2 linked regions of the Arabidopsis thaliana genome follow. The protein of the gene in region 2 interacts with the protein of the main gene of each other region in a pairwise test. Each region holds a gene or a part of one and is shown on either strand. Other genes may lie near its edges.

Region 1 (5,904 bases), about 13 Mb from region 2:
AAAGTCATTGGAGAGTTCTAAGGATTTTTTTCACAATTGGTTATTATCATATTTGATTCATGAATTTATTTGGGGTTATTTGCATTTTGGGAAGAGGTATACTTAAAGGAAATGTGTTTATATAACTCTCATTTTCCTCCTTTATATGCAAGAAATCACAAATCTTTATCAAGCCATAGTACCGCTAAATATTACTTTGATAATGATTTTTAATCGGTAGTACCATAACAACAATATCAAACCATTGTATAGAGTATTGTTTGGTTTCTTGAATTGGTGGTAATAAGGTTCCACATGTTAACCGTAAAAGATATTGTTTGTACCAACAATGGGTCTCAAGATGCCATCACCATGGCCTAGGTAAATTGTGATAAACGTGGAGGTGACAATTTTATCAACCTTTAAGTACATAATTTTATGTGATGATCTTCTTCTTCTTTTTATTTTAGCTCCCCCTAGATTGAGCTGGCCCAAACGGCCAGACCTAAACAATATTTGTGGCTCATTTTTACTCAAGATTTTTGTTAACCGAAAAAAGAAAAGCTTTAAATCATAAGATTCTTTTTTGTGCACCCAATTCATAAGATTTAAACCACTGATTTTCAAATAAATATTTGGAAACTTAAAAACAATATCTTTTAAGTGATCTTACCGAGCTCAAACTTCACTTTTGCTGATGGTTTAGCAAACTAAGCGTTTTCTTTATCGCTTAATTTTCATTCGTTTGTTGTTTACCGTATATTGTTAAGCCGGTTTTGTTGGAGGATACTAATGGGCACACAAACTCCAGAAATGTCCGATTGTAATTTTCTACATTTTTTATTTGAATAAAACATAGGGGGCAACTGCCTTCTATCATTCACCAAAAAAAAATTCACTCTTGCTTTGCTTTATGTTCGGCTAAATATGAAACTCACACAAAATCTATCAGTCCTTTTTATTGTCGTCATACTCCTTTCTTTTTTTCTATAATTGTTTTTAATAGAAATGTGCTGGGCCGGCCCTGCAGGCTAGATTTTAAAACATGAAGCTTTGTACTAAGAATCTGATTTTGCACTATTACACGATTTACTCCTTTCGTATATTCTCTCTATTTTTTTACATATTCGATTTACACCTTTGTTTCCGTTTCTATGTTTTATAGTGATTTTTTTTTTTTTTTTTTCACATGTTTTATAGTGATTTTTTATAAAATATTTGCTTGGCTTTCTCGATGTGATAAGTGAAAGACGCGATTCGTTGTGGCAATGAATGAAAAGGGCCCCATTTGGGTCCTACAGATATTAAGGATGTATTGTCTCTTTGGCCCGTTTTCAAAGTTACTTGGGCCCTCCATAAAGTCAAGTTGTGTTTTCATTTTTTGTTTACTCCATCTTCTCACGTTTCCTCTTTCACCATTTTACCAAAAAAAGTTACTTATTATTTACCAAATCAATAAACTCCATAAAATCATGACGAGAAAAAAATATAATCCATAAATTGTTTCATTTAGGACATAAAACAGCTCTTGTGAGTTACGATTAGGCTTAAATCGACCATAACTTCCGATTCATTTTATGTATACGTGGCGAAATGCAATTTGTAGAACGTGGTGAAGACAAATTGGTTATAACCCGTCGAGTCGTGCTTAGAGCTGCTGGTTGACTTGCGAGGCACAAACCATCGTTGTCTCAAGGGACATAATTGTAATATAACACATTAAACCGACGCTTTTTATAAACTACTTTCCCTTATTAGCCAATCATAACTCAACGATTACTACAAAAATAGACGAAATAAGACATAATGAATAAATAAATATGAGAAATAAAAAAGGAAATCTGTTAGATCCTTGTCTTCAATAAACCACTATATACTTCCAAAAAAGTTATTATAGCTTATGCATTTGTTTTTGGGTTAATTCGCTAAAAAAATCAAACATTTGAAGTTTTGATGTTTTTTATTCTGTCTTAAATTTATTATTTATTATAAAATATGAGAATTGTTATATAGACGATTTTATTATAGACAATTCCTTCTGACTCTCTTTAGATCCACGACAAACGTTACCTTTTTCTCATTTTCTATGATTTTGATGAACACTTTCAATGATTTTCCCTGCGTAAAATCTTGACGAATGACTATAATTGTACATCGTTGGAGATCTCCTGCATACTTGTCTCTATTAATCTATCGAAGTTTTGAAATTTTAAAGTTTGTGTATAAAATGATACGGTAAAAAATTATAACTAAAATGAATAATTGATTTTGTGCATATTTTACAAATAATATGATATCATGTTATTGTATTTTATTACATGTTATTTTGCAAAGAAATCTCTATATTTTAATTATCTTCCAAATTAACTTAAATGTTTTATGATTTTTTTTTTGTTTAATTTCTTATGTAAGCAACCAATGCAAATTTAAATTCATGAAATACTTTACTTTCTTTTGTAGCATTCATTACGATGTGTCATTTTTTTTGAAAATCAAAAATTAATAAGAAAAATAAAATGGATAAAATGAAAAAGACAGAGAGTTTTTACTCTATCATATCTGCACCGCAGACTTTATACTGTAAACAAAATTTTATTCATATTTTTCGAGATCTGCTTGAAGAGACAAACACAAGAAAATCACAAAAAAAATCTCTCCCATTAAAAGACTGCACAAAGAAATATTTTATACAAAATGAAAGAGAGAAACACGACACGAATTTTGTATAATTAAGATTACACAAAAAAAAGTGTTAGAAAGAGAAATATCTTCTTCTTTTTTCTGTGTGAGTTGGGTTTGTTAAAGTTTTATCCTTTTTGTTCTCAAAATCAAGAATCGATGGCGGAGAAGGAAGAAAAAGAACCATCGAAGTTAAAATCATCCACCGGAGTTTCACGGCCAACGATTTCACTACCTCCTCGACCGTTTGGTGAAATGTTTTTTAGCGGTGGCGTTGGATTTAGTCCTGGACCAATGACTCTCGTCTCAAATTTATTCTCTGATCCTGATGAGTTCAAGTCTTTCTCTCAGCTTTTAGCTGGAGCTATGGCTTCTCCGGCGGCAGCTGCTGTTGCCGCCGCTGCTGTGGTTGCTACTGCTCATCATCAGACACCTGTGAGCTCTGTCGGTGATGGCGGTGGAAGCGGTGGTGATGTTGACCCGAGGTTTAAGCAGAGTAGACCAACGGGATTGATGATAACTCAACCACCGGGGATGTTTACTGTACCGCCGGGGTTAAGTCCGGCTACTCTTTTGGATTCTCCGAGCTTCTTTGGTCTTTTTTCACCTCTTCAGGTGTGAAATTCGTTAACAACTAAAAAAACTCAAAGCTTTGTTTTTTTTTGCTCATTGTTTGTTCGAAACTCTGTTTTTGGTAAATGAAAGTTTTGTTTGGATATTTTGTTGCTGTTTCTGGTTTTTGTTTTCTTTCGGTTTATGTCTTTATGGATGCAAATCCAAACCATTTTGCTGGATAGAGTAAGAGAAACAAAAAACAAAAACAAATGTTCTTCATTTTTAGGTCAAAATTGGGAAGTTTTGACTTTGAGACATTATGGATGCTTTTTTGGGTATCTGAATCTTTGAATGGAAGAATTTAGAAAGTAGGAATCTTTCAGACAAAGAACAATGTCAATGTCAAAGAGAGAAACAGAGTTGTCGTTTAGAACTCATTAGTATTGTTTCTTTTCTAAATGTTGAATCTTTAAATGTATTTGCTTGGAATTTGTTACCTTGTCTTTTGGGCTATTAGCTGATAATAGAAATGTGAATTATGTGTAGGGAACATTTGGTATGACACATCAACAAGCTTTAGCACAAGTCACTGCACAAGCAGTTCAAGGCAATAATGTTCATATGCAGCAATCACAACAATCTGAATATCCTTCTTCTACACAACAACAACAACAACAACAACAACAAGCTTCATTGACTGAGATTCCATCATTTTCTTCTGCACCTAGGTCTCAGATTCGAGCCTCGGTTCAAGAAACATCGCAGGGTCAGAGAGAGACTTCGGAAATATCTGTCTTTGAGCATCGGTCACAGCCTCAAAATGCTGACAAACCAGCTGATGATGGATACAACTGGCGGAAATATGGGCAGAAGCAAGTGAAGGGGAGCGATTTTCCTCGGAGTTATTACAAATGTACGCATCCAGCTTGTCCTGTCAAGAAGAAAGTGGAGAGGTCACTCGATGGACAAGTAACGGAAATCATCTACAAGGGTCAACACAATCATGAGCTTCCTCAAAAGCGCGGTAACAATAACGGGAGTTGTAAAAGTTCTGATATTGCAAATCAGTTTCAAACAAGTAATAGCAGTCTCAACAAGAGTAAGAGGGACCAGGAAACAAGCCAAGTTACAACAACAGAGCAGATGTCTGAAGCAAGTGATAGCGAGGAGGTTGGGAATGCAGAGACTAGTGTGGGAGAAAGACATGAGGATGAGCCTGATCCCAAGCGAAGGTAAATAAGAAAAACTCATGAGACTTTACTGTTCCTCTTACATTCATCTCTTGTGTGGTTTTGGTTATTCTGATGAGATTTAAACAATCTTTGAATGTTGCAGAAATACAGAAGTTCGGGTTTCAGAACCAGTTGCTTCATCGCATAGAACTGTGACAGAGCCTAGGATTATTGTCCAAACGACGAGTGAAGTTGACCTCTTAGATGATGGATATAGGTGGCGCAAGTATGGTCAGAAAGTAGTCAAAGGAAATCCTTATCCGAGGTAAGACTAAAACCTGGTCATCTAGTTCAAGATAGTCATTGGTCTTTCTTGTTTCCTTAATGCTCTTTGATCTAATCCACAGGAGCTACTATAAGTGTACAACACCAGATTGCGGAGTAAGGAAACATGTAGAGAGAGCAGCAACTGACCCAAAAGCTGTTGTAACAACATATGAAGGTAAACATAACCATGATGTTCCAGCTGCTAGAACCAGCAGCCATCAGTTAAGACCAAACAATCAACACAACACCTCAACGGTTAACTTCAATCATCAACAGCCTGTTGCACGTTTAAGGCTTAAAGAAGAGCAAATCACTTGACAGAGAAGAAGAATACGACGGCGCTTGAGCTTTTGTGAGTTTAATGAATCTTCTTTTTGGTTAATGAACCTGTTTTTGTTGCCTCAAAACACCACAGGTTTCTCTGGACAGAATCTCTGATATTACAGTTTCAAAAGGTATGTTCTTTTATTTCATGTTGGAATCTTCTGTGTAATCTTAAGAAGCTTTAGGAGGTAATGTAAAAAACCAGATTCAAAGTTATGCCCTTATGTGAATTCTTTTGTACATGGGATAAACAAAATTTACAGGTATCCTTTTTGTTCTTGTTGTAATAGGTTACATTTGTGGATGTATGTTTCTTTTAGTCATTTGTATCACAATGTCTATACAAATGAAACCTTTCACCGAAGATTAACAATGCTTCTAGTGGGATTCTGAGTAATCTAACCTTAGCTAAATTAATAAGAAATATGCCAATTCTGATTCAGATTACAGCAGTTTGCAAGTCTCAAGAACAGTAAAGAAGACCAATATACAAGGGTTACAAACTTGCATTATCATACAAGAAGACAAGTTTTTCAAACACTACCTTAAAACATAACAACAAGACCTTAAACTCATCATCATCATCATCATTTGATCAGATGTTGTTGTAAGCTACAGAGACCAAGTGAGGAACTTTACCATCATCAAAAGGCAAGCTAACATATTCTCTAGCAAACTCTTCAGCTATCTCCCCAACAAGCTCACCATGAACAGCTTTACAATACATATACATCACAGTAGTCGCCACAAGATTATACAACATCAATAGCGTTAGCAACGCGGACGTGATCCAATTCTGTACAAAAAAGAAAGAACCTTTCCACGACTTCCCACCATTCTCATTATCGTTGAGCAGAGCATAGGCGGC
Region 2 (5,119 bases):
ATCAAACTTTGTTCTTGGTGTTTTTCTCTTTGTTTCTCCGTCTTTGTCTCCAAAAATTTTATTCACTCGCCGGCTTAGTTTTTGGAAGGGTTATTTCCTTTCCCGACATATGTAATCCACCGTTGTAATCCTTTAGTGAATTTTAGTGAAATATTTATTTCTAGTGAAAAAAAAGTAGTAGTGTATTACATGTTTTTATAAGATTTTTTGTTTGATATATATGTGTAGGGCGAGACTGCTTTGCTCGATGTAGTCCAGGGTATTACGAACGTTTTGAATGCTTCCATGACTGTATAACGAAAGGGTATGATGATGGAAACTGTGTTCCAGGGCCTAAAACGGGAAGATGTTGTTGCACCAGATGAATTATGTATTTTATTGACTTTTGTATTGTTGGTTCTTATATTTACTGAATAAAATGAATTCAAACATTTTATTTGTTCCATTGCCAAGTCCAGTCACATTATATAATCTAAATTGTTCCTTCAATCTAGTTTTTCTTGTGAAATTCTACAATCTGAATATTTGGATTTATTGTTAGTTCTTTTGAAAGTAAGGAATTCCTGTAAAAAATAAAAAGGTAAAGAAATAACCTAAACATATGCATTGTTGCATAACTTTTTGTGGTAAATATTAGCTACTAATTGCAAACGACGACAAAGAATAATATTACAAAATACAATGATTGATAGAATCTCAAAATAATACTCGTTGATACTCCATTTAGATCAAATAAAAATGATAATAGGAAAAAGATTTTATCGAAATGATACGTACCACACCGAGGGCACTGTAAAAGAGAAATCGTAGTCTCCCATCAATAGATCTATCAAGAAAGGAAACATAAAATCAACAGAATTAACTTAAGAGAAAAAAAAACAGAATCACCCAAAACATAATCAAAATCTAACCGGATACATCGGCACTTAGAATCAATGAACATATATAAATGCAACCAGTAATTTACCTTTGCCTTTGGCCCATGTCAGTGAATCTATACAGAAACTTCAAAAAATAAATAGTCCATAAAAGTTGCAGGAAAACTGAATCAGAGAAGAAAGGAAGCGAGAGGTGGAGGCTTTTTGTAGGAAGTAATAAGTTGCAGTTATTGAAAAGTGACTATTGATTTAGTGTATTTAAATATAAGAAATAAGTAATTAGGTTTCATCTTATATATATATATATATAGGTTTGATCTATTAACCATTTTTATGCTTAAAACATTAATGAAAATGGCAAATAACAACAAGTCTCTTTCACATGAATGCCAAAACATTAATCCACAATCTAAAAAAAGACTATTACAAATATGGAATAACACAACAACCGACTTATATAAGGTATTCCAACAAGTAATTGGAGAAATCTTGTTAACCATATGGAATTCTAAACACAAATGACAAATCTATCAAAATTTATTACACACGCCACTATACTAATGCATACGAATCCTAGGTCGATAATATTAATTAAATTGTTTAAAAAGAATCCTCTTGTATAGAGAGTAGTAAATTAAAGTAGTAATTGGATTCGATTGATTGACAAATGACAAATTAACTACTTTGCCAGCCTGTATGTACCCAATAGCAACCAAATTCACCACGTTCTTCAACGGGTTTAGAGGAAAACCACTCAACCCCAAAACCAAAACAAATTATTTTTTAAAAAAGAGAGTAAATAATTATAATCAGCACGATTGACCGTCGGAGTAACACCGGAGCCGCTTCATGGGAAAATCATGCCGGAAACTACCGTGAGCTGCGGCTGCGGCATGCTGCCACTCCTCAACGAGCAAGCCATTTATAAGCTCGACTTGGCGAACACCATTTCCATCTCCAAGCATACCAACCACGACACGACCAGGTGGTTTGGACTTCCGACGACCGGCGCCGACGGGAACGTTCCGGAGTGCACCACCGGCGGTCCAGTAACGGTGGCAGCCTTTACAAAAGTGTCGAGGCTGATTAACGTTGTAGTTGTTGAAGTAACAGAACTTTGTCTCCATGCTCTTGCATCTTGGACATGCTATGATCTTATCCGGACGCTTCTCGGCCGTCAGATCCGATGATGATGATGATCTAACGGCTATTGTGGCTTCTTGCTCCGGCGGGTGTGTCTCTTCTTCATTTTTTATTGTTCGAGTGTTAAATGCAATAGTTTTGCCAAAGAGTTTAATCCCTTGAGAATCTTGAGTCGCCATGAAAACGTGCAGAGAATGGAAAATAGCTTATCCAAAGTTTGTTGGGGGTAAGAAATAGAGAAGACGTCTTTTTATAGAAAGATGATAGTATAACTTTTTAGCAGGAATTGGAGAAGAAAAGTGACTGAATTAGTGGAGATTAAAATATTTATTTGTTAAAAACTTTTTAAAGCATGTAGTAATAGGCGCATTCATCGCTTTACTTTTGGGTCTTGAATTCACATCTACACGTAAAACACGAATGCCAATGCGGATCAAGCTACAAAGCTTTCTTTAAAAAGCTAATTATTTGAAAAGTGCAATTCGTAAGTAGTTACTGTAAAACCATACACGTTTTCCCTTTTTTTCGTCCACTTACTCTATAGAATAAATGAATACACATTAATTATTTCGTAACAATTTTAGACAAGCTAGTGGATGCTTGAACGTGATCCAACTAAAATAAGATTAAATTTACTTGAAAGAGATTCTATAAACATGATCCATCTATTCACATCCGAATTTGAGTCTATGTTCATGGATTATTAACGAATTAGAATTTCAGGGTTGTCGAAATTATAGATCTTTTTTTTGATTAACTAGTATCTAGATATAAAAATATGAAACAGATACTAAAAAATAATATTCTCTCCGTTTCACAATATAAGTTGTTTTAGCTAAAAACACACATATTAAGCATATTAACTTTTAAAAAGTTCAGCCAATCATAAAAGAGACTGTAAAATATAAATAATCATAAAGTATTAAAGTAATATATAACTTGCATAAAAACTTGAAAACAATTTATAGTGTGAAACAAAAAATTTGGTCTATAACAACTTATATTATAAAACGGAGGAAATATCCAAAACGAACAAGGCAGTAACTCATGAAAAGGAAAATGTCTTGTTCAGACTTTTTGCTCTCTAATATTTTACGAATTTGATAATGATTTCTCAGTGCACGAGTCACGAGTTCCATTTTTCTAAAACTTTAAATAATCTATTATCATTAGGTTTGAAATGCAACTCTCTAGATACCTAGGAGTCTTGCCCCGGCCCATACATATTTTCTTTTCAAAGAACATTTGGATGGATTTGTGCGTGTGTATGTGTTTAAACCCCCAATTAATACTGATCTTTAGGATTGACCTCATCGTTTTTTTTTGGAAATCAAGATTGAAATATTTATCTTTAGAATTTAGAATGGATGAACTATATACTGTATATATATATTTTAGATGTGATCTAACTTTTAAGACATAGCCGTCAAAAAAAGAAATGTTTGGTAATAAGTCAGTGTTAAAAAGAGGAAAAGAGAAAGGAGTATGAGCTTTTGAGACAGAGACATCGTTACTCATATTTCATATTTCTTCCTTTTGTCAGCTCTAAAGACTTCTTGTGGGTCCTCTTCACGGTAGCCTTCTCATAAGTATTCGAATTGTTTTAAATTTAATTACTAATATCTTATACACCATGTCTTGTCGCAAAGTGGCCAGATTGAAACTATATATAAATGGTAAAGTGGGTCGGACGAATGAGCTAAGTCTGATCAATTAATGATCCAATCTAGTGTCGATGGATTGACCATCTCAGCTATAATCTCACTCAAGTATCAACGACCATAAGTCCAGTCCTAGTATGATCCGGCTCGTCAGTGAAGTTCAAAATGGATCATAATTTTCTCATGCGTTGATATTCGATTGAAAGACGGAGTCTTTTGAATGGAACATTGAGGAAAGATAAAGCAAAGCAAAGTACTTTTCTGAAAATATGCCACTTTCAATTAACCTAATCCCATATTTGGTTGACGTATATAAAATATAAAAGTAAAACTAAGGAAAGTGTTAGAAATGAAAGGAGAAAAGAAGGAAGAAAAGTAAAAGAAAAAAAAGAGAACATTGTTTTTAACAAAAAGGAAAGAAAGTAAAAAAGAGAGCATTGATCGATGTTCATCTCTCTTTTTCTTTCTTTGAGTTTAATTTCATGTTCATCTCCCCTTTAAATTGTAGTATGAATTTTCATTGGTATCTTTCTAGTCATAAAGGAACCACTTTTACATGGTATGGAAAAAGGATAGTCTATTGTAAATTAATAAAAAGAAAAATCTTAGTGATTTCAGCTTTACCGATAATGCTTTTCTTTTCAAATTTACCAAATTTAAGTAACATCCAATACAAATATGCCATGACCGTTCTTTAACGAACGTACACATTCTATTAGAGTGTATATACTTGGTTTAGTTGTGGTTAAGTTTGGTTAGTAGTTTTGGTTTAGTTTACTTGTATTTAAGCTTAATCATGTATCACTTTTACACTTAATGAAGATTTCACGATTATTGAAAGAGATAAGTTGGAGAGTAATTTGCAAAAATAATTTGAGAAGTAGACACTTTTTTTAGAAATAGGAGGAATAGGTAGTTTTATCTCTCCTCTCTAATAGAACTCTCCTTCTAATACAGCTTTTAGTAAAGTACAATTTTACCCTTCTGTTGTTTTGATGAAATAAAATGGCCTGATTAAAAGCAACCCAATATCATCTCCAATTTTGGAATTGTTCATGGGCTTGACATTAATTAAAACTCATATTTTCTTAAGTCATTGAAACCAAACACACTCATGTTTTATCTGAATTTGATAATGTACAAAAATAATATAAAATAATAGTATACGACAATAATATTTAAAAATAAAACAACGATAGTGTACATGATATTCACGGTGTACATAAAATAATAAAATAATAAAATAGTAGATGACACCATATACAACTCTTTAAATCGTCTATCGTATTGTACACCGAATCTAGAGAACTATTTGGTGTACTTGAAAGTCTATGAGATAGTGTACAAACATCAGTATACAAAATGATGTACACCAGTAAATTGAAATAATAGGTTATATATATTCAAAAATATTGTACACTAAATCTATAAAATCGT

Evidence for each region.
Region 1: the proteins of AT2G34140 (region 2) and WRKY3 interact in a two-hybrid assay, tested with the Arabidopsis thaliana proteins (one large-scale study listed by BioGRID).

What each region holds. Positions count from the first base shown.
Region 1 is NC_003071.7:1,013,850-1,019,753, reverse strand, and holds WRKY3 (WRKY DNA-binding protein 3), read left to right. Parts: upstream 1-2,531; 5' UTR 2,532-2,817; coding exon 2,818-3,273; intron 3,274-3,759; coding exon 3,760-4,445; intron 4,446-4,548; coding exon 4,549-4,710; intron 4,711-4,792; coding exon 4,793-5,030; 3' UTR 5,031-5,404; downstream 5,405-5,904. Other genes in the region: AT2G03350 (DUF538 family protein (Protein of unknown function, DUF538)), read left to right, coding at 1-21; AT2G03330 (uncharacterized protein), read right to left, coding at 5,632-5,904. UniProt on the Arabidopsis thaliana protein: Transcription factor. Interacts specifically with the W box (5'-(T)TGAC[CT]-3'), a frequently occurring elicitor-responsive cis-acting element.
Region 2 is NC_003071.7:14,412,501-14,417,619, forward strand, and holds AT2G34140 (Dof-type zinc finger DNA-binding family protein), read right to left. Parts: upstream 2,289-5,119; 5' UTR 2,201-2,288; coding exon 1,688-2,200; 3' UTR 1,194-1,687; downstream 1-1,193. UniProt on the Arabidopsis thaliana protein: Transcription factor that binds specifically to a 5'-AA[AG]G-3' consensus core sequence. Transcriptional repressor of 'CONSTANS' expression. Regulates a photoperiodic flowering response.